Daphnia pulex: one gene and its partners. The protein of the gene in region 2 purifies or fractionates together with the protein of the main gene of each other region. This does not show direct contact. Links are inferred from orthologs where the notes say so. Each region holds a gene or a part of one and is shown on either strand. Other genes may lie near its edges.

Evidence for each region. Proteins that work in one complex are often made in the same cells at the same time.
Region 1: the proteins of exosome component 10-like (region 2) and exosome complex component RRP45-like purify together in Homo sapiens (co-immunoprecipitation; 7 studies listed by BioGRID and IntAct, with this or other methods). This does not show direct contact. The link is inferred for Daphnia pulex from reciprocal best matches to the Homo sapiens genes EXOSC10 and EXOSC9.
Region 3: the proteins of exosome component 10-like (region 2) and exosome complex component RRP42-like purify together in Homo sapiens (affinity purification with mass spectrometry; 6 studies listed by BioGRID and IntAct, counting the BioPlex papers as one, with this or other methods). This does not show direct contact. The link is inferred for Daphnia pulex from reciprocal best matches to the Homo sapiens genes EXOSC10 and EXOSC7.

The regions. Positions count from the first base shown.
Region 1 is NC_060019.1:12,893,436-12,900,483, reverse strand, and holds exosome complex component RRP45-like, read right to left. Parts: upstream 4,569-7,048; 5' UTR 4,429-4,568; coding exon 4,363-4,428; intron 4,297-4,362; coding exon 4,202-4,296; intron 4,131-4,201; coding exon 3,958-4,130; intron 3,893-3,957; coding exon 3,622-3,892; intron 3,561-3,621; coding exon 3,336-3,560; intron 3,273-3,335; coding exon 2,998-3,272; intron 2,919-2,997; coding exon 2,881-2,918; coding exon of another isoform or gene 2,860-2,880; exon of another isoform or gene 2,805-2,859; coding exon 2,664-2,804; 3' UTR 2,651-2,663; coding exon of another isoform or gene 2,528-2,650; 3' UTR 2,501-2,527; intron 2,452-2,500; coding exon of another isoform or gene 2,203-2,451; intron 1,934-2,202; coding exon of another isoform or gene 1,876-1,933; intron 1,833-1,875; 3' UTR 1,822-1,832; coding exon of another isoform or gene 1,676-1,821; 3' UTR 876-1,675; downstream 1-875. Other genes in the region: histone deacetylase complex subunit SAP30 homolog, read left to right, coding at 1,676-1,821, 1,876-1,933, 2,203-2,451, 2,528-2,650; protein FAM92A-like, read left to right, coding at 4,829-4,869, 4,952-5,053, 5,121-5,249, 5,315-5,879, 5,943-6,068; transmembrane protein 208-like, read right to left, coding at 6,156-6,299, 6,358-6,442, 6,507-6,643, 6,714-6,872. UniProt on the Homo sapiens protein: Non-catalytic component of the RNA exosome complex which has 3'->5' exoribonuclease activity and participates in a multitude of cellular RNA processing and degradation events.
Region 2 is NC_060022.1:1,680,582-1,687,487, reverse strand, and holds exosome component 10-like, read left to right. Parts: upstream 1-2,300; 5' UTR 2,301-2,483; coding exon 2,484-2,534; intron 2,535-2,605; coding exon 2,606-2,742; intron 2,743-2,805; coding exon 2,806-2,917; intron 2,918-2,977; coding exon 2,978-3,088; intron 3,089-3,156; coding exon 3,157-3,525; intron 3,526-3,594; coding exon 3,595-3,738; intron 3,739-3,797; coding exon 3,798-5,378; 3' UTR 5,379-5,524; downstream 5,525-6,906. Other genes in the region: transmembrane protein 98-like, read right to left, coding at 872-970, 1,079-1,270, 1,384-1,645, 1,715-1,884; 6-phosphofructo-2-kinase/fructose-2,6-bisphosphatase 1-like, read left to right, coding at 6,205-6,511. UniProt on the Homo sapiens protein: Catalytic component of the RNA exosome complex which has 3'->5' exoribonuclease activity and participates in a multitude of cellular RNA processing and degradation events.
Region 3 is NC_060020.1:2,139,916-2,146,177, forward strand, and holds exosome complex component RRP42-like, read right to left. Parts: upstream 3,890-6,262; 5' UTR 3,746-3,889; exon of another isoform or gene 3,683-3,745; 5' UTR 3,637-3,682; coding exon 3,580-3,636; intron 3,458-3,579; coding exon 3,261-3,457; intron 3,191-3,260; coding exon 3,025-3,190; intron 2,958-3,024; coding exon 2,763-2,957; intron 2,702-2,762; coding exon 2,546-2,701; intron 2,489-2,545; coding exon 2,387-2,488; 3' UTR 2,277-2,386; downstream 1-2,276. Other genes in the region: uncharacterized aarF domain-containing protein kinase 5-like, read left to right, coding at 1-160, 245-403, 479-610, 672-837, 898-1,068, 1,182-1,425, 1,949-2,116, 2,174-2,276. UniProt on the Homo sapiens protein: Non-catalytic component of the RNA exosome complex which has 3'->5' exoribonuclease activity and participates in a multitude of cellular RNA processing and degradation events.

The DNA of each region.
Region 1 (7,048 bases), on a different chromosome or scaffold from region 2:
TATGTAGAATAAAACCGGTTGGGCGCATTGACGTTATTGGACAACTATAGACTGGAAAACACTAAGCCTAACTTTCGATCGCACACGCTATCTTTTAGTCGTGAACTCTACATTATTTTTAGCCATTCATTTTACGCGAGAGTGATCAGAATTTGGAAATTGTGATTAAAGCGCTTGTACTTTTAAAAAATATGGCCGAATTTGAACAAGGAAAACTGAAAATTGATAAGAAAATAAACAAAAGTTGAAGCTTCAGTGGCCAGCCAAACGTAGCGCCACTTGCAATCCTTCCAGAAAAATGCTATGTGAAACTTGAAAGAGTCGTATCTATAATGGCGATTGGGCTGAGCTAAAATCGATAAAGGAAGAGCCGGGTTAGGGGACATAGAAACAAGGAGAAGCCTTTATTGTTTTGAATGGCCTGGCGTAGTGGCGTTTCTAAATAATGTGCCGGTCTGCTGTGGACCAGTTCATAATCTAGATTTGAAAGCACGTCACTTTTTGATTTTTTTTTCCCTGTATGTCGGCCATGTTAAAATGTAAAATTTTTCGTTAGAATAAGGATTGCAGAGGACTCCATCTTTGACACGATAAGCTCATAATTATTAAGGAATGTTTTTATTTTATTTTTTAGGTTAGAATCTTGGAAGAGGAAAGCTTGTCCCCGCCATCTTGCGTCACTAACGTTCTTTATTGTTTCAAATACATTTTTTTGAATTCTTGGTGGAATCGATAAAGAGAAGAAAGAAGTTGTTATAATATTTGTTTCGCATTACCAGCAACCTGGATGAGAATTGAAAACAAAACCCACGAGAGATGAGATTATTAAACCTACTTCAATTCCTGGCAGACGATTATCTTCCAAGAATCGTTGATGTTGTTGTTGTATGTTATTGATAACAGTCAGAACTACAGAACATTTGCAATTTTACATTCCACAGCTCAAGTAAACCACACGTAGGCCATACGATGATTACATTCTATGAAATAAGTCGCTTTTAAGTGGGAAAATGTTCACACAACTCTTATTAACAAACGTTTTTCGGCACAGGGTCAACAGTCGAAATTCAACATTTTCTGTGATGATAATGAAGTACACGTTGCCCACGGCAGAGGGCGCGATATCTCGAACTTTTCTTTATGTTTTATTTAACATACAATCGTCTTAGAAAATCAACTGAATTTTGAAAATACTTTACAAGTTAAACTTGTTTTACTTTAAATTATTTGTGAAAGCCACATGGTAAAAATATTTTCTATAAAAAAGAACCAGCAACAAGGGAGTTTAGAATTTTCAGGAGACATGACGGCCCTCTCGATCAAGCGCGTCTGGATACCGTTTTCGTAGCTTGAGGGAGAATAACAAGTGTGTTTCAACGACGAACGACTTGTGTAGGCTTGCACTTTTCCTAAAAACTCGATTGGATACATTGAAAAGTAGCTAAACAAAAGTCAATTATTGCGAAGAATTAAGGGGAGATTTCCTCCGTTTTCTTAGTAGGTTGTACGGTAATCGTGAGATTTCAAGTAAACAGTTTGTTTTGGCTTACATACGCAATTCGTGAAAAAGCGTCCACAGTTCGTTGTGTACGTTGTAGTGAAAGGTAACTTTCGAGATTGCCTTTGTTGTGACTTTCGATCAATCGTGCGAGGGAGCACTCAGCATATTTCAAAGATGAATGGGTTTAGCACGGGTTCGGGTGAGGAGGATTCGCGTGATTCCAAGCGAAGCCATGATCAACATTGCTGCCTGATTGAATTTGATCAGATGATTGACGATGGCGAGAGATGTCCTAGAATGGCTGGAAATGCCTCTTACAGGTATGTGTGCTCTAATTGATCAAGAAACATTATTTTCAACATTTGTTTGATTAGTAAACGGATTCAAAAGACTGTACAACAAAGGAAACTACGGCTACACATGGACTCCTCTGTAAGTTATTCACACAAAGTTTCAGTAGGGACAAGAAAACCCCCTATTCAAGGGTCCTTCGTGTCCAAGTAGAAATTACCTGTCTTTTGCATTAGGCTTTCACTTGGTCACAAATTGCCCTGGACTTTTAAAAGTGTTGGAAATCCTGAGCATTCCCTCCGCTTTTGGAAGACCAATAAAGGCACAACCACTGTGGATGTTCCCTTGTCAGTTTTATTCAAGATTCATGAAGTATTATTTAACTTGTGCATTATTATTCTTAATTATAGGCCAGACACATCTATATTTGTGATTACCACAAGAGCTTAATTCAGTCTGTTCGAGTCCGGCAGCGCAAGAGGAAAGATTCTGAAGACGACTCCAACGAAACAGATCGAGACACGCTCAGTCTGCAAGAAAGAGAACGTGATGCTCCAGAAGTTGATCTCTTCCAACTTCAAATCAATACGCTAAGGCGTTACAAGCGACATTACAAAGTGCCCACTCGACCAGGCCTCAATAAAGCACAACTTGCAGAGGTACAGATATTGCCTAGTTAACCTACTATTATTATTATTAATTACTTACCAATAATCCTCGTGATTGAAATGATAGACCTTGATGCGCCATTTCCGGACTATTCCCGTGGTGGAGAAGGAAGCCCTCCACTCATTCCTTTACACCGTCAAATCTAATAAAAACAAACTCGATCTGAAACCAAACAATGACAACTTGTAAAACCGTGGTCTGTCTATGCTTCAACCCCTCCCCCAGTGCAAATCACGTTAAAGCACGTTTGTCTTCGAAATGATGAACTAGCGAAAGGATGGAACTCAAAAATATGCGTGCGTCTGTTGTTTTCTCCTTGGCATGTTTTAATTATTAATTTAACCTTGTAAATTCAAATACATTCGAACGAAAGGTTTAATCGGTGCATCATAGTCATTTTATGTAAGTTCGCTGGTTACCAACATGACAGGCTCCTCTTCACTATCATTTCCAACATCTATGTAATTAAGGAAACGGTGAGAAAATTAGATTTGAATGCCGATAGACGAGATACAGGACGAAACCAATGTTTTTACCTATTTCTTCGTAGACCCTCTTTTTTACTGCCACAGGTGGGAGTGGTTCAACTTCCATCTCACTTTCGCTGCTGGACGTATCGCAAGAGGTTTCTAATGTAACAACTCCTTGATCGTTTACAAGTTTCGTCTTCGTGATTGCCGAAGGTTCTTTTTTCGATACTTCAGCCTTATGATGTGACGCCTTGAAATACACTTCGGCCTGTGACTGAGTGGTGATTCTTTCTGTTTCCAGCGCTACGCTAGCAACTAACCCACTGTACTTTCCTTTGGCTCTACAAATATTGCAAAAAGAGAATGTTATTCACTTTCGGGTGCCGAAGAATTAGGCTGAATACCTTTCGGCGGCATCGTCAGCCAGAGATTTTTTTAACATTTCAACCATTTGAACAGCTCTTGATGCTGCCACATTCGCACACGATATAACTGCTTCTTTATGGATAAACACCCCATCGCCAGATATCTGTAATGTGCAAAGTTCTCGGTATGCATTTAAACCCATCACAAGTTTTCCATCGGCAGAACGTTCTTCTAAATTTGTTGGGTCCAAGACGCAAATTCTCCTATGGGGAAAGTTATAAATACATTTTCCAAAGGGAAAACAAAATATAGCGATCTAGTTACCCTTGGTTAAAGAGAGCAAAGGAAAGAGTTAAAGGATGATGTAGGATAGTGAGTGGAACTGGATCCCGTTCATCTAGCTGATGGATGATAACATCCCGACCATCGAGAGTTACATCCGGTCTTTTAAAGTGACAAAGAGCGCCTAGAGCAGCCAAAGTGGCAGCATCAATCAGATTTCCTTCATGATTCAGTACATGTATATCAACTCTCACTTCCCAAGCTTGTTCCTCAACCAAAATGCACAGGCTCTCCAAATCAATGCAGCGGGAATCTGTTTTTAAAATAGTTAATGTAATAAGGGCCATTGATGTATGAGTGGCAATGTATGTACATTACCTTTAATGCACCTTTCAACTAGCCTATTGACTTCAATGCCTTGTTGTCCTAATCTGCCAGCTTCAAAATGTTCAGCTGCCATAGTAGACATTTCAACATTGATAAACAGCATGCCTTCATTTGCTCTTGATGATTTCGGGACTTGGACACTGCAAGAAACTTGCGCCATCACCCTGACAAAAGATTCATTAAGGATAAAACACGTTAGAAACAAGTACTGAAAAATGACACTAAAACATGATACCTTGTGTTTCCAAGAAGGACCTGGCAGCATCCCCATTCTGTTCCGAATGTAATACAAGTCTTTCTCTGTTCCGAGAGACTACGCCCGTCAACTCTCTAAGAATGAATCGTAAACAATGTTAACAAAATTCGAAAAACAACAACTAGACCTGTGAGAAATACTTGTCCTTCTTTGACGCCTTGGATTACAGTTTGTTTCTCACAAATCGATAGCGGTGTTTCTTTCATTTTAAATATAAACAGTTGATAACTAAACCAGTGTATAAAAGAATTAAGCACTATTTGACGATGGAAATAAAAAGAACGAATAATTCTGCCCGACTGAAAAAGAACAATATTTAAGCAGACCACGTGCGTGAATGACAGACAACGTTGCCACTCGAAATCTTTTCTCTAGATTTAGATAGATTTATGATTATCTTAACTTCTATTCCTAAATATCAGGAAAGATAATTTTTCATTAAAAAAAACTTAAATTTTATAATAATACAATTATTTCCAATATTTTGAAGCAAACCAAGCAGCAGCGTTTAAAATTTGGAACGATCCGTTACCACGGTTACGGAAACATGGAAATCAAAACAAGCACGGAAGAATAGTATTTTTTCTTATAAACGCTGAAAAAACAATGTTTCGTTCACCAAGCGCCAGCTCTTTGCCACACTCAAGGTAAATTTATCTTTGCTGTAATTTAAGAAAAATCTTAAACATGTACATAATTTCTTGTTTCCAACCCTTGTAAATCTTGAAGTGCAACCCAAACGCGCTTCATACAAAATAGAATTCAAGTAATCGAAAAACACTTTGGTGAGATCTGCACCGCTCTAGCGTTATACACTAGAAAAATAGCCGGGTTAGTTTAATTATACCTTAATTCGATGGTGTTCGTAATAAACATAACCTGTGAAATCTAAATTCAGTCAGCGGGATAAAGGCGATTTTCTGGCACAGACATTAAATGAGTACGCTACAGCAGAAAATGTCAACAAAAATTGCAGTCAAGGTATCAAAGACTTTGCCGATAACATTTCTTTCATTTCAGATTACAGGTAAGAGTTTGAATTCGTAACGAAAAAATTAGTCAAATTAATTAACCGACTTTATTTTTAAAAAGAGATGTTTGCGTTAACCGTTTGGAGGAAACTGTCATCCAAGAGATTTCAAGTTACGCGGGCGTCTGCAAGTCGGCCATGGAGGACGTCCGAAGCTGTAGCATTGCGTACGAAAAAGAAATAAGTCAATTAAAATACGTTCACAAGTTACGGCAGCAAAACCCGTTGGGACGAATGCAAATAAGCAAAGCGGAAAGTGATTTAGCACACGCCACAACACAATCTGTCCGACTAGGCAAGTCTATAGAGGAACGAGCCGACAAGCTCGAAAAGAAGAAGCTCAAGGATCTTATTAGCTGGATGAAGCGATTGGCTTTAATCGAAATGAGTTTTCACTCAACGTCGTTGTCCGTTCTTACAAAAGCCTATCAGCAGTTGGAAAACGTCGATGTGGAATCAGATTTGGAAGAATTCCGCAACACTTTAAGGACCTATATGCCTCTTCCAGAATCCAGTCCTGCCAGAGCCCAATCTGTGCCGTCAATTGCGTTGCCTAACACACCAACAGAAACTGCGTCCAAGGTCAAACGTTCCAAGTCTTTCTCTGATTACAGACAGCGAGCCGAGGTATCTATTCATACTAAATCTTGGAGTGTTGATCAGTTCTGTGATATGGATTTTGTTTTACAGTCCCTGGATTCACTGAAGGTGGAGGAATATGAAGAGTTAAAACAAATGGAAGGCTCAGACGATGACGACGAAGAATCCGAAGAAGAATCACCTCGCCCGCGATCTTCTCACGTCCGGCGCAAATAGCTGTTACAAATAAAGAGGTCCAGAGTCTGATTTATTTCAAAGGTATGTTAAATACAAAGCCAGTACAGGGAATCTTTAGTATCTCTTTTAATGCTGTTGACGCTTGATGCGGCGCTCCAATTTGCGTTGCTTCTTGTCATCCTGTGCATCCTGCTCTGCAGTTGGGGCTTTCTGGAAAAACCATGGACTAAGGAAATGTTTCCAAGCCAAGTGAAACAGTCGACAGGGAATCTAAATAAGATAATTTTAAGTAATAAAGAATAATGAAATGAATTTCTGAATAACTTACCACCAACAAGATAAGCCAAAAGTAACTGGAGATGGAAGACAGAACCTCGGTTGCACTTACTAGGATAATGGCATCTTTAATTTGCCTTTAATAACAAGAAAATGTGTTGACATACAAATTCATGAATCAGATCACAATTGAAAGCTTACTCTGATATTCCAGATTCCATGTTGAGATCAATTCCACCATCTAACAATTGTCCTGTTTCACTGTATTTGGCTCTAGCCATGTAGGCCATAAAGCGATAGCAGCAAAACTGAGCAAATGAACTCAGACATATTAAGAACTGAAATTCAAAAGAATGTGAGCTATAAATATTAAAATTTTAAATAATAATTTAAAAAAATCAACTATACAATATCAAATGAAGAGGTGGTGGACCAAAAAATGGCAGAGAATAATAAGTATACACCCACTGCCACAACAGACATATTTCTGTAGAAGTTGAGTGTTGCAACATTCTCTTCGACAATCTGTTTCTGGCCCTTGGTGGCCTGTTTTGCGCTCTTCTTTTCCTAAAGTAAGGGAAGCAAAAAAAAAACAAAATTACTTTACTTTGATTGACGGATGCAATGAAGGGATAATCGACGACACTTTCTCTCTTTGAAGCTAGAAAAAGTAAACGTCATGCAAGAGTAACGAACTGAGATAAATTTTCGGAAGTTAATTAGTTATTACAGTTAATAAATAG
Region 2 (6,906 bases):
AGTTTGTTTCCCCTCCTCATTCGTTTTATACCTGTTAGACATTTGCAAACAAATGACGGACACACGGGATGATGGAAGCCCATATATTCCCAGCTGCAGATCGCCTCAAAACTTGCCACAGACTCTCGACTATTTTTCTCTGATGAAGGCAAACAGATTTGGTGCACCTGCTGGAAGTGGGGGGGTGAGTCCGTCGGTCGATATGGAAATGTCGCAGCTTTTTTTTATTTTTCTAAAAGAAATAAAAATACGGGGGGATTCAAACTTTCATTATTGACCATGGTAATTTTTTTGTTTGGTTTGGTTTTCCATACGCTTTCTTTTGTTCTACCCAATTTGGTGAAGTGCGGCTCCGCAATGCCCACCCCGAAGAGTCAGACTTTTTGGCATTTTCTGGTATTATTTGAGAGCGGAGTCATCGATCGATTTCCTAGAACTGAAACTTTTTGATAATGTTGTGTAAGCCACAACGTGATCTGCCGCCAAACTTTTTTTCCCCCTCCTCGCTCTCTCTTTTTTTTTTTAAAATTTAAACGGTTCACTACACACCCGAGTCCAAAACTTGTTTTTCACGTGGCAGACGTAAACAAAAGGATCAGAACCATTATTATTTTTGAAAAAAGATAAAAAGTTGCCAAAATAGTTTGGAACGAACTTTGATTGATAACGAGTGGTTACATTTAAAAAAGGAAAATACAAAAAGGATAGTTGAATCGTTAGAGCCATTAATAAAGGTACATTACTTGGTCAGACGTTATAATGAGTCCACTGTAACGAACATTGTGCATTTAGGTTAGTGAGGCTAATTTTGTTAAGATACGTTGTGATATTTTGGACGGAGATTACGAAGGTTTTCGAGATTATTCGTGTTTCAAGTCATGGATGATTCGACTATGGTCACACCTTCCCTGTAAAGATTTCGTTCGTTCCATAATTGAGTTTCAGAGCGCCGGGCGATGGCTTTGAGTTTCTGCAGTACAAATTAATGAAAAGTTAAGCAGATAGTATCGAGAACATTCAGAGCCAGTTCGCGTTTCCAAGCAAACAAGTCGTGTAGCATTTAAAAGATGCACGTTACCTGGTAATGCATATTCATCTCTTCGAAAATAGCTGATGGCCACGACACATTGCATGTTCGCTCGGTGAGTTTGCTCAAGCGGTTGACAGCATTCAAGAGGGCAAAGGCTCGGATTTCGACATCGCGTGGTTGAATGGGTGGGCACATGGAACGCAAGACGTCGTCAACTAATGGAAGGACAGATTTTGCAACCTAAAACACAACAGAACTTTCAGACACATAGTAATCTTTGGAGTGTCACAACTGAATTCCAACATAACAGAAATGCATGCAATTATTTTTCTTTTAGATAATGAGAGTTGTACCATTGCCAATTCAACAAATCTCTGTTGATCTGTAGAAGCCATAGCTGTAGTCACAAGCCTTTCACTCATCAAGTGACAGCCTTTTAAAATCTGAAGGCAATGAGGAACAATTCCAAGGGCATCGTCCACCCATTTCCATCTGTGAGATTCTAGAACTTTGTCCAAGTCAGGGTGAATCACTAAATCTTCAGGATCAATATTGTCCATGATGTAGTCTTCATCTTCCATCTCTAGGCTACTGATTAGATGAATATCAGACCTACTGGGAAATTCAAAAGCAAAATTACTCCCAACTGCGAAAGAAGTCTTTGTTCGTTTTTGAGATAGTTACCTCACATGGAATCCATTCTGCTGCACTTGTGGGCTTTGTTCCTTCTTCTTAAATTTAGAACCAAGATTAAAGCAACATAGTTTATATCTGCATATAAACAATAGCGCAAGGAGAGCAGCAATGAATACGGAAGTCAAAATCCCTCCAGTCACAACGACAACAGCGTGCATTGTTATGTGCTGAAAAAGAAAGCAATATAAGAAAATCTTTCGATCGTTTCAAGCGTCTGTCATATATTAGTTACCTTCGCAAAAACGACAAGTTTGGATGACACAGTGAACCTTTATAAGTACTCAATAACGAAAGTCCAAGTTAATAAACAACTAGTGCAAACATTTTTACGGCGGGATTAAAATTGTTATTATTTTATGGAAAAGAATGATGGTCAAGGCACTTGTTGATTTGTTATTTTCGGGGAACTTTTATAACGCCCTTGGCAGAATTTTAAAGCGCAATAGCATTTTCAAATGAATAAAAAATATTTAGTCGTGGGTTGAAAAATATTCTAAATTTACTAAATATTTTACTTGTTCATAGATATTCAATTAATTAAGTAATATAGATCCTTTTTAAGTTTAATAATAAATAAATCAACTGTTTAACTAACGGTGTATTACATGCATAATGTAGCAGACGACAAGTGGATTCTGAAAGCATGATTCTTTGGTCAACGGCGAGACTGAAACAAGGCGATTCACGTGCTTAATGTTTTCTGTGAATAATCGCAATAAGATTTTGTTGCAATTGATGATCAGAGAATATTTTTAAAATGAGTGAAAAAGAAAGTGAGAAGAATGGAAATGCCCAAGAGGTTCAACAGGTAGAGCATTGGCTGGCCAAACATTTTGAAATTTCATATCAGTCACAACTTGATTTTCTCTGTTTATTTAGAAATTATTTCAAAGTGCAATGAAGGTCACAAAGTACTCTAATGAATTACCAAGTAGTGGTTCAGACTGGGATTACTACCAAAGTTATCCAGCATATGCCAGCGCAATGAAAGAATTTGGTGGTCGCATTACTAACTTGTGAGTTACAGCTACCGTTAAGTATAAGAATTTTGTTTGATCCTAAAATTTTTATTTGTCAAGGATGACCACAATTTACGGACACTATGGACTAACAGGAAAGGTGGGAAAATTGGATTTGGAAGAGCAGATGGAGCTGGTGTCGGACAACAATGACATCTTGATGGAGCGAATAGTATGCTACTAGGAATTATTAGAATTTTACACCTGTTAAAAAAAACTGCTTTCGTTTCAGAATCTTTCTCTAGATGAAGCTGCTGGATTAAAAAAACAAGCAGAAACTGTAGTTGTTGAGATGATGGCAAAAACTACAAATATTAATGGCAGTTGGAATCGGCATTCTGTGGTATCTAGTTTTTCATACCAATTGTTGTCTTAGATGCTGAATCTATAAAGTATTCATCTTGTTTACAGAGTTCACCAGCAACCTCTTACAAACTTCTTTCTGCTAAAAACATTCTGAGACCACAGTTGAAATTCAAAGAGAAAATCAAGAATTCACCTGGACCGTTTATCCCCAAAATCAAAGATAAGCCTCATTCGTTGAAACCACTGGCGATACTATTAGAATTGAATGACTTGGGCGATGAAGAGTTTAGCCATCCGTACGAATTTGAATTGGAACGTTTTACACCGGATCCAAAGTTCTTCACCGTACTTGATGAAGTGCCTCCATTCCCAAGTGTTCAAGAAATCCCTTTGGTAATGATAGATACTGAAGAAGGTTTAAAAAGTCTTTTGAAAGTTTTGCTTGAGGAAACTGTGATTGCTGTAGATCTGGAGGTATTATTCACTGTCTAGCAGTTTTTAAATTGGTGAACCTTATTAAGTTCCTTAATTATTTATTGCCAGGCCCATTCATATAGATCCTTTCAAGGCCTAACATGCTTAATGCAAATTTCAACAAGCAGTTCTGACTACATTATAGACACTTTAGAGCTATGGGATCAACTACAGCCTTTAAATGAAGTTTTCTGCAACCCAAAGATTGTTAAGGTATGAGCTAACTGTTTAATTGAAGAAGTAACAAACTTATTTTGTTGGTTTTCGTTTAGATTTTTCATGGAGCTGATATGGATATTCAGTGGCTTCAGCGCGATTTCGGTATCTACGTCGTTAATCTTTTTGACACTTATCACGCTGCCAAATTATTGGGTTTTGCACAGCTGTCCTTGTCCTTCCTCCTTCGTCATTATTGCCAAGTTATTGCTGACAAACAATACCAGCTAGCCGATTGGCGAATTCGTCCCTTGCCTGAGCAAATGGTCAATTATGCTCGAGAAGATACCCACTACCTAGGATACATTTACGAAAAGATGAAAAAGGATTTGAAGATGAAGGGAACAGGAGATAATTTGCTGACAGCAGTTTGGCAAAACAGCCGACTGGTTTGTCTCAAACGTTACAGAATTCCCCCTATCACTGCCGAAAGTCACTTGGAATTGTATAGGCTCAGCAAGAAGATTTTCAACGAACGTCAGCTGTTTGCATTAAAAGAACTGTTTGCTTGGCGCGATCGAATAGCTCGAGAAGAAGACGAGAGCACTGGTTTTGTTCTACCCAAACACATGTTGTTACAAATCGCCGATGTTCTACCTAAGGAGATGCAAGGTATCCTTGCCTGTTGTTCACCTATCCCTTCGCTCGTTCGTCAGCATTTACTTCATCTCCATGGAATCATATTAAAAGCCAGAGAAATGCCTCTCGCCACTCTACAACATCACGGCCAGCCATTAGCCATCCCGAAAATGATGCCGACTCCATTGGATCAAGACACCGAAGACCCCCTTTATTGTATGCACGACTTGACACATTCTCAGGACATCCGAGACGACCTACCCACTCTGCTGAATCCGCAAACGATCGAATCAATGGCGTCAAGATCCGAGGAGTTTGGAGTCCGCGTCACTGTAAAAGAGTTCCCACAAGCTCTAATCTTCGCCGAATCGGCTCATTCTGGCATCGTGACAAATGTATCAACTAATTTTGTTTCTCCATACACGAGATATATTCGTGTCAGAGCTCTAAAGTCGGCCGAAGAAGCCGCAGAAGCACAACGTGTCGAAAAGTTGCGCCAACATTTCATGGAAGAAGTGGCGCATTCAACACCCGATGCCCAGCGTGAAGCGGAAGCGATGGAAGAAGAGGCGGAAGCAGTAGCAGTAGTTCCTGCGAAGAAAAAGAAGTTGGCGTTGAAAGCGCAGGGACTTAACAAGAAGAAGAAGAAAGTAGGGAGTACTAAACGAGTAACGGCTACTCCTGAAACATCTGTAATTCCATCAAACTCCAGCTCCCCATCGAAAAAGTCGGCGGATGCAGTAGTGCCGTCAGCATCCAAGAGCCCTAATCCAGCAACATCCAAGAGCCCCAATCCAGGAATGAAGAAAAAATCATTAAAACGACCGGCGAGCAAAGAAGCAGGAAATGACAGCGGGGCTAATTTCGAACCATTTGATTATTCCCAGGTTGATTATCACGCTTTTAAAAGGAGCGCACTGCGTGAAGATGGTGATGGACGCGGTCGGGGTCGAGGAAGAGGCCGTGGTGGCAAAAACCGAAGAGGTGGTCCCGGACATAGCAATAACAGAATCCACAGAAAGGGTGGCCAAAAGAGTCTTACGTATTCATCGAAATAAGTTAATCTACACTCTTTTGAAAATTAATTTTTGAACGTCGTATTCTTGTACTGTTGTGGATGAATCCGTGAACCTGTTTATCCTCTCTTAAAAATTGTTCGATTTTCAATCGTTTTGAAGTAAACAAGACACCGTTTGAAAAGAAAGAAGCAATTTGTCGTGTCAGATGTAATGGCGGAATCTGAATTAGCAAAAAGCTCGAGAACATTACCCTTTGGACGAGTCCTTTGGATATTTGAAATATGACGACGCAGAGTAATAACGGAAATCAGCAAAGTAATTGGGACACTTGTGGCAAGCTAATGTTAGCAGCGGATGAATAACCATCCGATTTTAATGGGACTTTAACCATTTGATGAATGTCGTGTTCTAGGGTTTCATTCAGGGTTTCCTCCCGGCTGATTGCAACATACGTACAACTACAACGAAATCCTTTCGTGGAATGAACGCGGTAATGACTTCTTTTGGGGTTTCCCTTGCACAGAGCTTGCGGTTTCGCTTGCAATGAATCTTTTATTTTTCTGATGATGCCGAAAAATTTTGATATCCCAAGGTTGATAACTCGCAAATTTATGTGGCTGGCCAATCCAAATTGCTTTCTGGCGCATTGCTCCGCCAATTGTAGTGAATGAAGAAGTGCACTTACACCTCCATCTGGACTTGAATCGCTTTTTTCAAAAGCGGGTAATGCGAAAAAGGGCAAGTTGAACCTTCAGTCGTTCGTCGCCATCTGAACAAGGAACACCGACAAACTACACCTCAATTATCCTCTAATAATCTTTAACATTCCACTTAGGTTTTAAAGCTTGCAGAGCAGCTGGTCGTCATGGAAGTGGGTCGGCGGTCTGATAATGGACAAATACGATGGGAGACTAATGGGAATGCAGTTTCCCTAAAGAAAATGGCCAAATCTCCGCTCGAGTGTGTGAATACACCAGTTCTTCCCACTGATCCACCGGGAAATGACCTTCGTCGTACAGACGCAACTGCCACATCGCTACATCCAGTTAAATCCGAGCAAGTGACAACGAAAAGTGATATAATCGATGAATTGCTTGAAGGGTTCCAACGGAAATGGTTGACCTTGCGATCCAACAAAGGGAGAGTTCAATCCACTACAATTTGGAGAAATGGTAATACAATTTTTATTTTGTCCTTTATATAATTTTTAAAATTTTTAAATTTCTTCTGTCAAACTGGGTTGCCGCATCTATCGCAAAAATTGTCCGATTTTTTTTTAATATTAAAAACTACTTAATATTCTTTAAACGATTTTGTGTTTCGGCTTTCGCTCGCACGATAAATTGTCGTGATTCCCACAGTGTAATCACGTGATCTAGCAGACGAGCATACAAAACACATCGATAAGAGTCAGAGCGAGAGAGTCGATGCCAGAACCCCCTGTAGGATTTAAAGCTGTCTGATAGTTTGAGGGGAAAAGAAGTCGGCCAATATTGCTGGCACAGTCTTAAAACAGTGAACTAAATTACGCTTCGTAGATTAGTGGGCGGTTTGAACTTGATTCCTG
Region 3 (6,262 bases), on a different chromosome or scaffold from region 2:
AAAAGAATATCTTAATACACTTAAAGTGCTTCAGGACAAATGTCTTGCTAGAGGGGCCACTGAGATTGGGCAGTTGTTTGAAGAAGAATTTGGGAAGAACCATAAAGAATTATTTGAGGCATTTGATGAAGAACCTATTGCTGCAGCTTCTTTGGCTCAAGTATAAATATAAAGTTGTAATAGATTAAGTAATAGACTGCATAGATTGCAGGGACAGGTGTAAATAATCAGAATTTTTGATCAGGTGTTTAGGGCCAAATGCAAAGATGGAAGAGAAGTTGCTGTAAAGGTTCAGTATATTGACTTGCAGGATCGGTTCAATGGTGATATTGCTACAATCGAATTGCTACTAGAACTGATCAGTTGGATGCATCCAAAATTTGAATTTAAATGGGTTCTCAAGGTACGAACGAAACAACTAGTAAAAATCATGCTATTATGTATTAAGGTTAAAGATATGTTTGTATATTTAATGCAGGATCTGAAGGGTACTCTTTGTAAAGAACTCGATTTTGTCAATGAAGGACACAATGGTGAAAGATGTGCCAAAGAGTTGTCATCGTTGCCTTATGTTTATGTCCCAGATGTCGTTTGGGATCTGACTAGCAAGGTAATATATGCACTAATTTCACTTCGTTAGGGTATATTATAAATTTTTTTTAACTGTTTAGCGAGTCTTAACGACAGAGTTTATCGATGGGATTAAAGTGAGTGATACAGGCAGTCTAGAAAAAGCAGGATTTTCAATAAAAGATGTTAGCCACAAACTGGTTGAAATGTTTGCAGAACAAATTTTTCACACTGGTTTTGTCCATGCTGATCCACACCCAGGAAACAGTAATCAAAGAATTGGTTCTTGTTGTTTCAGTGAGACTCTAATTACTTATCTCTTTGTAGTCTTAGTTCGTCGAGGGAAAAAAGGCGACGCACAGATAGTTTTGCTGGATCACGGATTATATGAAGAGCTTCCGTCTACTGTTCGCAAATCTCTTTGTCGTTTGTGGTCTTCAATAGTGCTAAACGATCACGTCGGAATGAAGCATCATGCCGCTGCCCTTGGAGTGAATGGTTAGTAGTTTCTCTTTCTATTATCAGTATTTCCGTTGTCATTTGAAACTTCGTTAGGCAAATTTTTTCTCGTAACAATTTTGAAAGTTGGAATGGGTTTGTATTATGACTAGATTACCGATTGTTCTGCATGGCCGTGTCACAGCGCTATATTTCAGCGCCACCATGGCCAACTGAACACGATTCAGTGAATCAGGTCTTTGCTTCGTTTTACGATCACAAGGGGCCGAAAGTAGGAGAATGGCAGAAGATGACAACCGAACAACGTCAAGCAATTCGAATTCAAATGGATGAAATTCATGAAAGGATGATGGATAGCTTCCGGGCCATGCCTTCTCAATTGATGCTCATTTTTAGGTATTTAGTTGATTGCAGTGTTGGTCTGTTGGTCTAGAACTAGGTCAGGAAGCGTACAACAGATTCTCAATTTTGCTGCATCAATACGTTAATTTAAGAATTGTTTTAAAATTGAAACTTTAAATAAGATAAAACGAAGAAACTCTTTCGCGGTCTTTTTTGTATAGACTATTTGCTCTTCGCTGAAATGCTTCTTCAAAGACCCATCGGAAATCAGAAATTCGCTTTATCCAACTTAAATCAACTTTCTGAAACTGATTTGAAATACATGCAAGAAATGGCGGGGCAGCGTTTCGACATGATCATGAATAACCTTCGTTCCATGCCAAGAACAATGCTTTTAACTATTAGGTAATACTGGATATTGAATTAACAATAAGCTGTAATCCTTAGAGAGCTGTGTGATGCAGCAAAATTGATAAATTTGTATCAGCCTACTGGTTTTAACTAAGGGCAGCTTTCTAAGTTAAAATTAACAGATTTATTTTATGTTTTGTTTTGTTTTTTCCTTTTTTTTATAAAGGAACATAAATACAGTTAGGGCAATAACCAAAGACCATGGCAGTCTTGTCGATCGTTATACATTGATGGCCAGAAGTGCTACTCGAGGATTTTTCATCGTACCTGGTGCTTCATTTGGTCAACGTCTACAAGGAGTCTTGCAACAATTTCTATTTGACTGGCGATTGTGGTAATTTTAAGATGTCTCTTTCATTTACGTGATAACTCAGTGAATTTTTTTTAACAGGTGGGATAAAACACAGATGAGGCTCACCTTTTGGGGCCTTCGTGTGTTATTTTGGCTTGGTCGTGCACCTGATATGACAATTGTCGTACAAATGGTTGAATGATTTCATTAGAAATTGTATTTAGTAGCAGGACACAAATGTCGCGTGAAATTTGTAATTGCAAGAATTCCTTTGAAATATTCAATTATATATCCTTTTGTGTTAAAAGACATTTACCGCATGAAGCCAACTTTTTGGGATACTTCCAACGTTTCTTCTTCTAGGAGCTTTTTCATCAAAATTGTGTTGACCACCGCGCCTACTTCACTTCCCGTCTACTCAAACAAGAAACATTAGACTGCGGGATTGTAAAGAATAGAAAAATTTCGAACCTTGAGCATTGACACCAGGCTGTCTGGATGCAAACTTCCGGAGCCAATTTTCCTAACGGCAGTAACTTTTTTATTGCCTGAGACCGCCACAACAATACCAGAAGAGCTGCAGCATTCTTCTTCTGGTGTTGGATCTACTAGGTAATGGTTTCCAATCTGAAAGTGAAAACACAGTATTCGACTAAATATTTCAAAATTAAAACTTTAACTTTCAAACCTTCATCAAAGTCACTACACAAGGAATGTTCTCTGTGTTCAGTCTCTTGGTATCATAAGGATCATCAGAGAGCTCCAGTTCAGGTTGATCCCCGTCCATAGTTGCTACTTTAATAGAAGGAATTTGTGTTGCATAAAGAGCCGATTTCACAGCCAATGAAACTGCATCATAAAGGTTCCCTCCACATTCAAGAATCTATTTTAATGCCATAAAATATTTCATGAGAAATTGTTGATTGGTAGAAATATCACACCAGCATTACCAATATGTCAACATACAAGACCCAACATTGCTGTCCTGTCAAGACAGAAAGTTCAGATAAATTAATTGTATCACCTGAAGCATAAGATCTTTGAAGGAATCTACAAATTTCATTTGCCAGATCTTCTCCACCTCTCCCTTCAAATTCTGGTGTTGCATTTGCAGAGCTAAATTAACAAAAAGTACTATTAACATAAAAACTTTTAAATTCTATTTATATTTATTGTTTAAACAGACCAATCCACAAAGAACTCCAGCCTTCCTTCTTTGGGCTTATCAGGTAAAGGGGAAGCTAGCTCTACTTTAACTCCAACAAGAATATCAGAGTTTGCAAGTCTCAGCCTTGCCGATCCACTGGCATTTGAAACTAATCCAGTTTCAAGAATTATAGGGCGATAATCCAGCCTTGTTCTACCATCACATCGTAAATCATCCTTGGATATTTCAAAAATTGAATTTTGTTAAGTAAGGACAATTTATTTTTATAAGAGCTGATTGATTTAAGTATTACAGACCAAAAAATTTTACTGGCAAGACCGACAGAATTTAATTATACCTGGACACCATGATGAATGAATGCTTTCTCAGCTTCACTTAAAAGTATTTCTGCCATTGATATGGAGCTCAAAGGTAACCAACGATACAGAAAACAGTAACAACTAACAAACGCAGATGACTTTAATCAAAATACCACGGGAATGTAAGTAAACTGTAAACCTTACCAGACCTTACTAGTTTTCAAGCTAGTATGTTTGTATATGTCTGCACTCGACAGTTGTCTGCTACATTAGGGCAACGTTGTCGGACATCCGTCAGGTTCAGATTCTAAAGACAGATTTAATTGGTTTATTTATTTGCCAATTGCGTTTTTTTACTACAGTACGCACATTGATTGCACGCCATTTATTTTTACATTATACATGATTTTATGCGTGTTACCATACGTTTTACATTATACGTGTTACCATTTACCATGGGCATGGAGAGACCTCTCCAAACCCTTGGTGTTACATAAACATTTGGTATTCATTTTCATATTGGTTATTGATTGTAGACCCACCCCCCAGCAACGTCAACCTCCAGAAGGAAAGGCCAGCTTTTGCATGTCCTTGACGCTCGAAGGTCATGGAGATCATTATGTAAAACTTGTCATGCAATGGTGTAGAGGTTGGGTGAGAACGAGACGTTTTACACAACCATTTGGTATTCATTTTGATATTGGTTGTTGTAGACCCATCCCCAGCAACGTCCGACCTGCAAAAGGAAAGGACAGTCACACTTGAAGGTCACGGAGATCTTTACGTAAAACGTGTCATGCAGTGGAGTAGAGGCTGGGTGAGAACGACACGTGTAGCATCATTATCAAGCAGGTAAAATAACCGCAAGGCTTAAGAGGTGAGGGTGAGAAAAAATCGTATAAAAGGCGAGAGAAAAGGCGAAGGTAAATCAGTTGAGGGAGCATCTCCGACACGGCAACAACTGCAGCGCTCTGTCTGTCAATTCGCATGGTAAATATTCTGTCTTTTACGTAGAGTTTGGTATCAATCCTTCTTTTGTTTATGTATGCCTGTTATTATGTAATATTTATGTTAAAATTGCTAATTGTCTAGCAAACTATGGCGTAGTGCTGCTGTTGTGTGTTGAATCATCGATGGCTGGGTCGACCACTGGTGTACCGATGTCTTCTTGGTATGGCGGATACCAAACTGCAACGCCGCCGCCTTACTACCCAAAAGCAACTTACGCAACGACCAGTTACTGCACCGAGGTCTTCAAGTACTACACCACTAAAGCACCGGACTTGAATAGCACAACTTACGCTGCCCCGAGCCACTACACTGCCGCCCTGAAGTATTTCTCTGCCCCGAGTTACTACACCACCAAGGCGACGGAAGATGACTACGCATGCTGCCCCATCCTCCGAGGCTCATACACCGAAGCTCCTAAGTATTACTCTGTTCTCATCTACTTATTGCACCGATTTTCCTAAATACTACTCTGTTCCCAGCTGCTACACCGAGGCTCCCGCTGATTACTACACCGAAGCGGCAAAGTACTACTCTGCCCCGATCTACACAACCATAACTGAGGCGGCCAAGTATTACGCAGTCCCGACTTGCTACACCAAAGCTGCTCTTTCGTACTACGTTGAACAGGAATACTACATTGATGCTCCAGTTCACTACACCACGACCTACGCTACACCGCAGCCCACAAGTACTACACCGAAGAAGCCGCCTACAACAACGTATGCTGCCTAGTTTACTACACCGAGGCTCCCAAGTACTACATCACTAAGGCACCGGATTTCTACACGTCTATGTGTGCTACCCCTGCCTAGTACACCGAGGCCCCGCATTACTACAACACTGAAGCGCTCAAGTACTACACTACAACCTGGCTTCCCCGAGCTACTACACCTACGTCCCGAAGTATTACTGTGCGTTAAAGGAGTCTTCAAAAAAAGGACCACCAATTGCTTTCTTCATCGTGTAACCGATTCGCAATCATGGGTAAATATTCTTATTTTTACATTGAGTTTTGTATCAATAATATTTTTTTCTATTTGTTAATATGCCTGTTACTATTTAATATTAATGTTTCAATTTATTTTGTTTAGTCAACTATGGCGTCGTGCTCCTGTTGGGCGTTGTATAGTTGATGGCTGGGTTGATTGCTGGTGTAGCGATGTCTCCTTGGTATGGCGGAAATCAAACCGCAACGTCGCCGCCTTCCTACTAAACTTACGCAACGACCGGTTCCTGCCCTGAGGTCTTCCAGTACTACACCACCAAAGCACCGGAGTTTTATACCACAACTTACGCTGCCCCGATTCACTACACTGATGCCCTGAAGTATTACTCTGCTCTGAGTTACTACACCATCTAGGCGATGGATGACACCACACGACTACATATACTGCCTATCCTACTACACCGAGGCTTCTAAAGTATTGCCCTGTTCTCAGCTACTTATTGCACCGATTTTCCTAAATACTACTCTGTTCCCAGCTGCTACACCGAGGCTTCCGCTGATTTCTACACCAAGACAGTCGAATACTACACCGAAGCGGCAAAGTACTACTCTGCCCCGATCTACACAACCACAACTGAGGCGGACAAGTATTACGCAGTTCCGACTTGCTACACCAAAGCTGCTCTTTCGTACTACGTTTACACTGATGCTCCAGTTCACTACACCACGGCCTACGCTACACCGCAGCCCCCAAGTACTACACC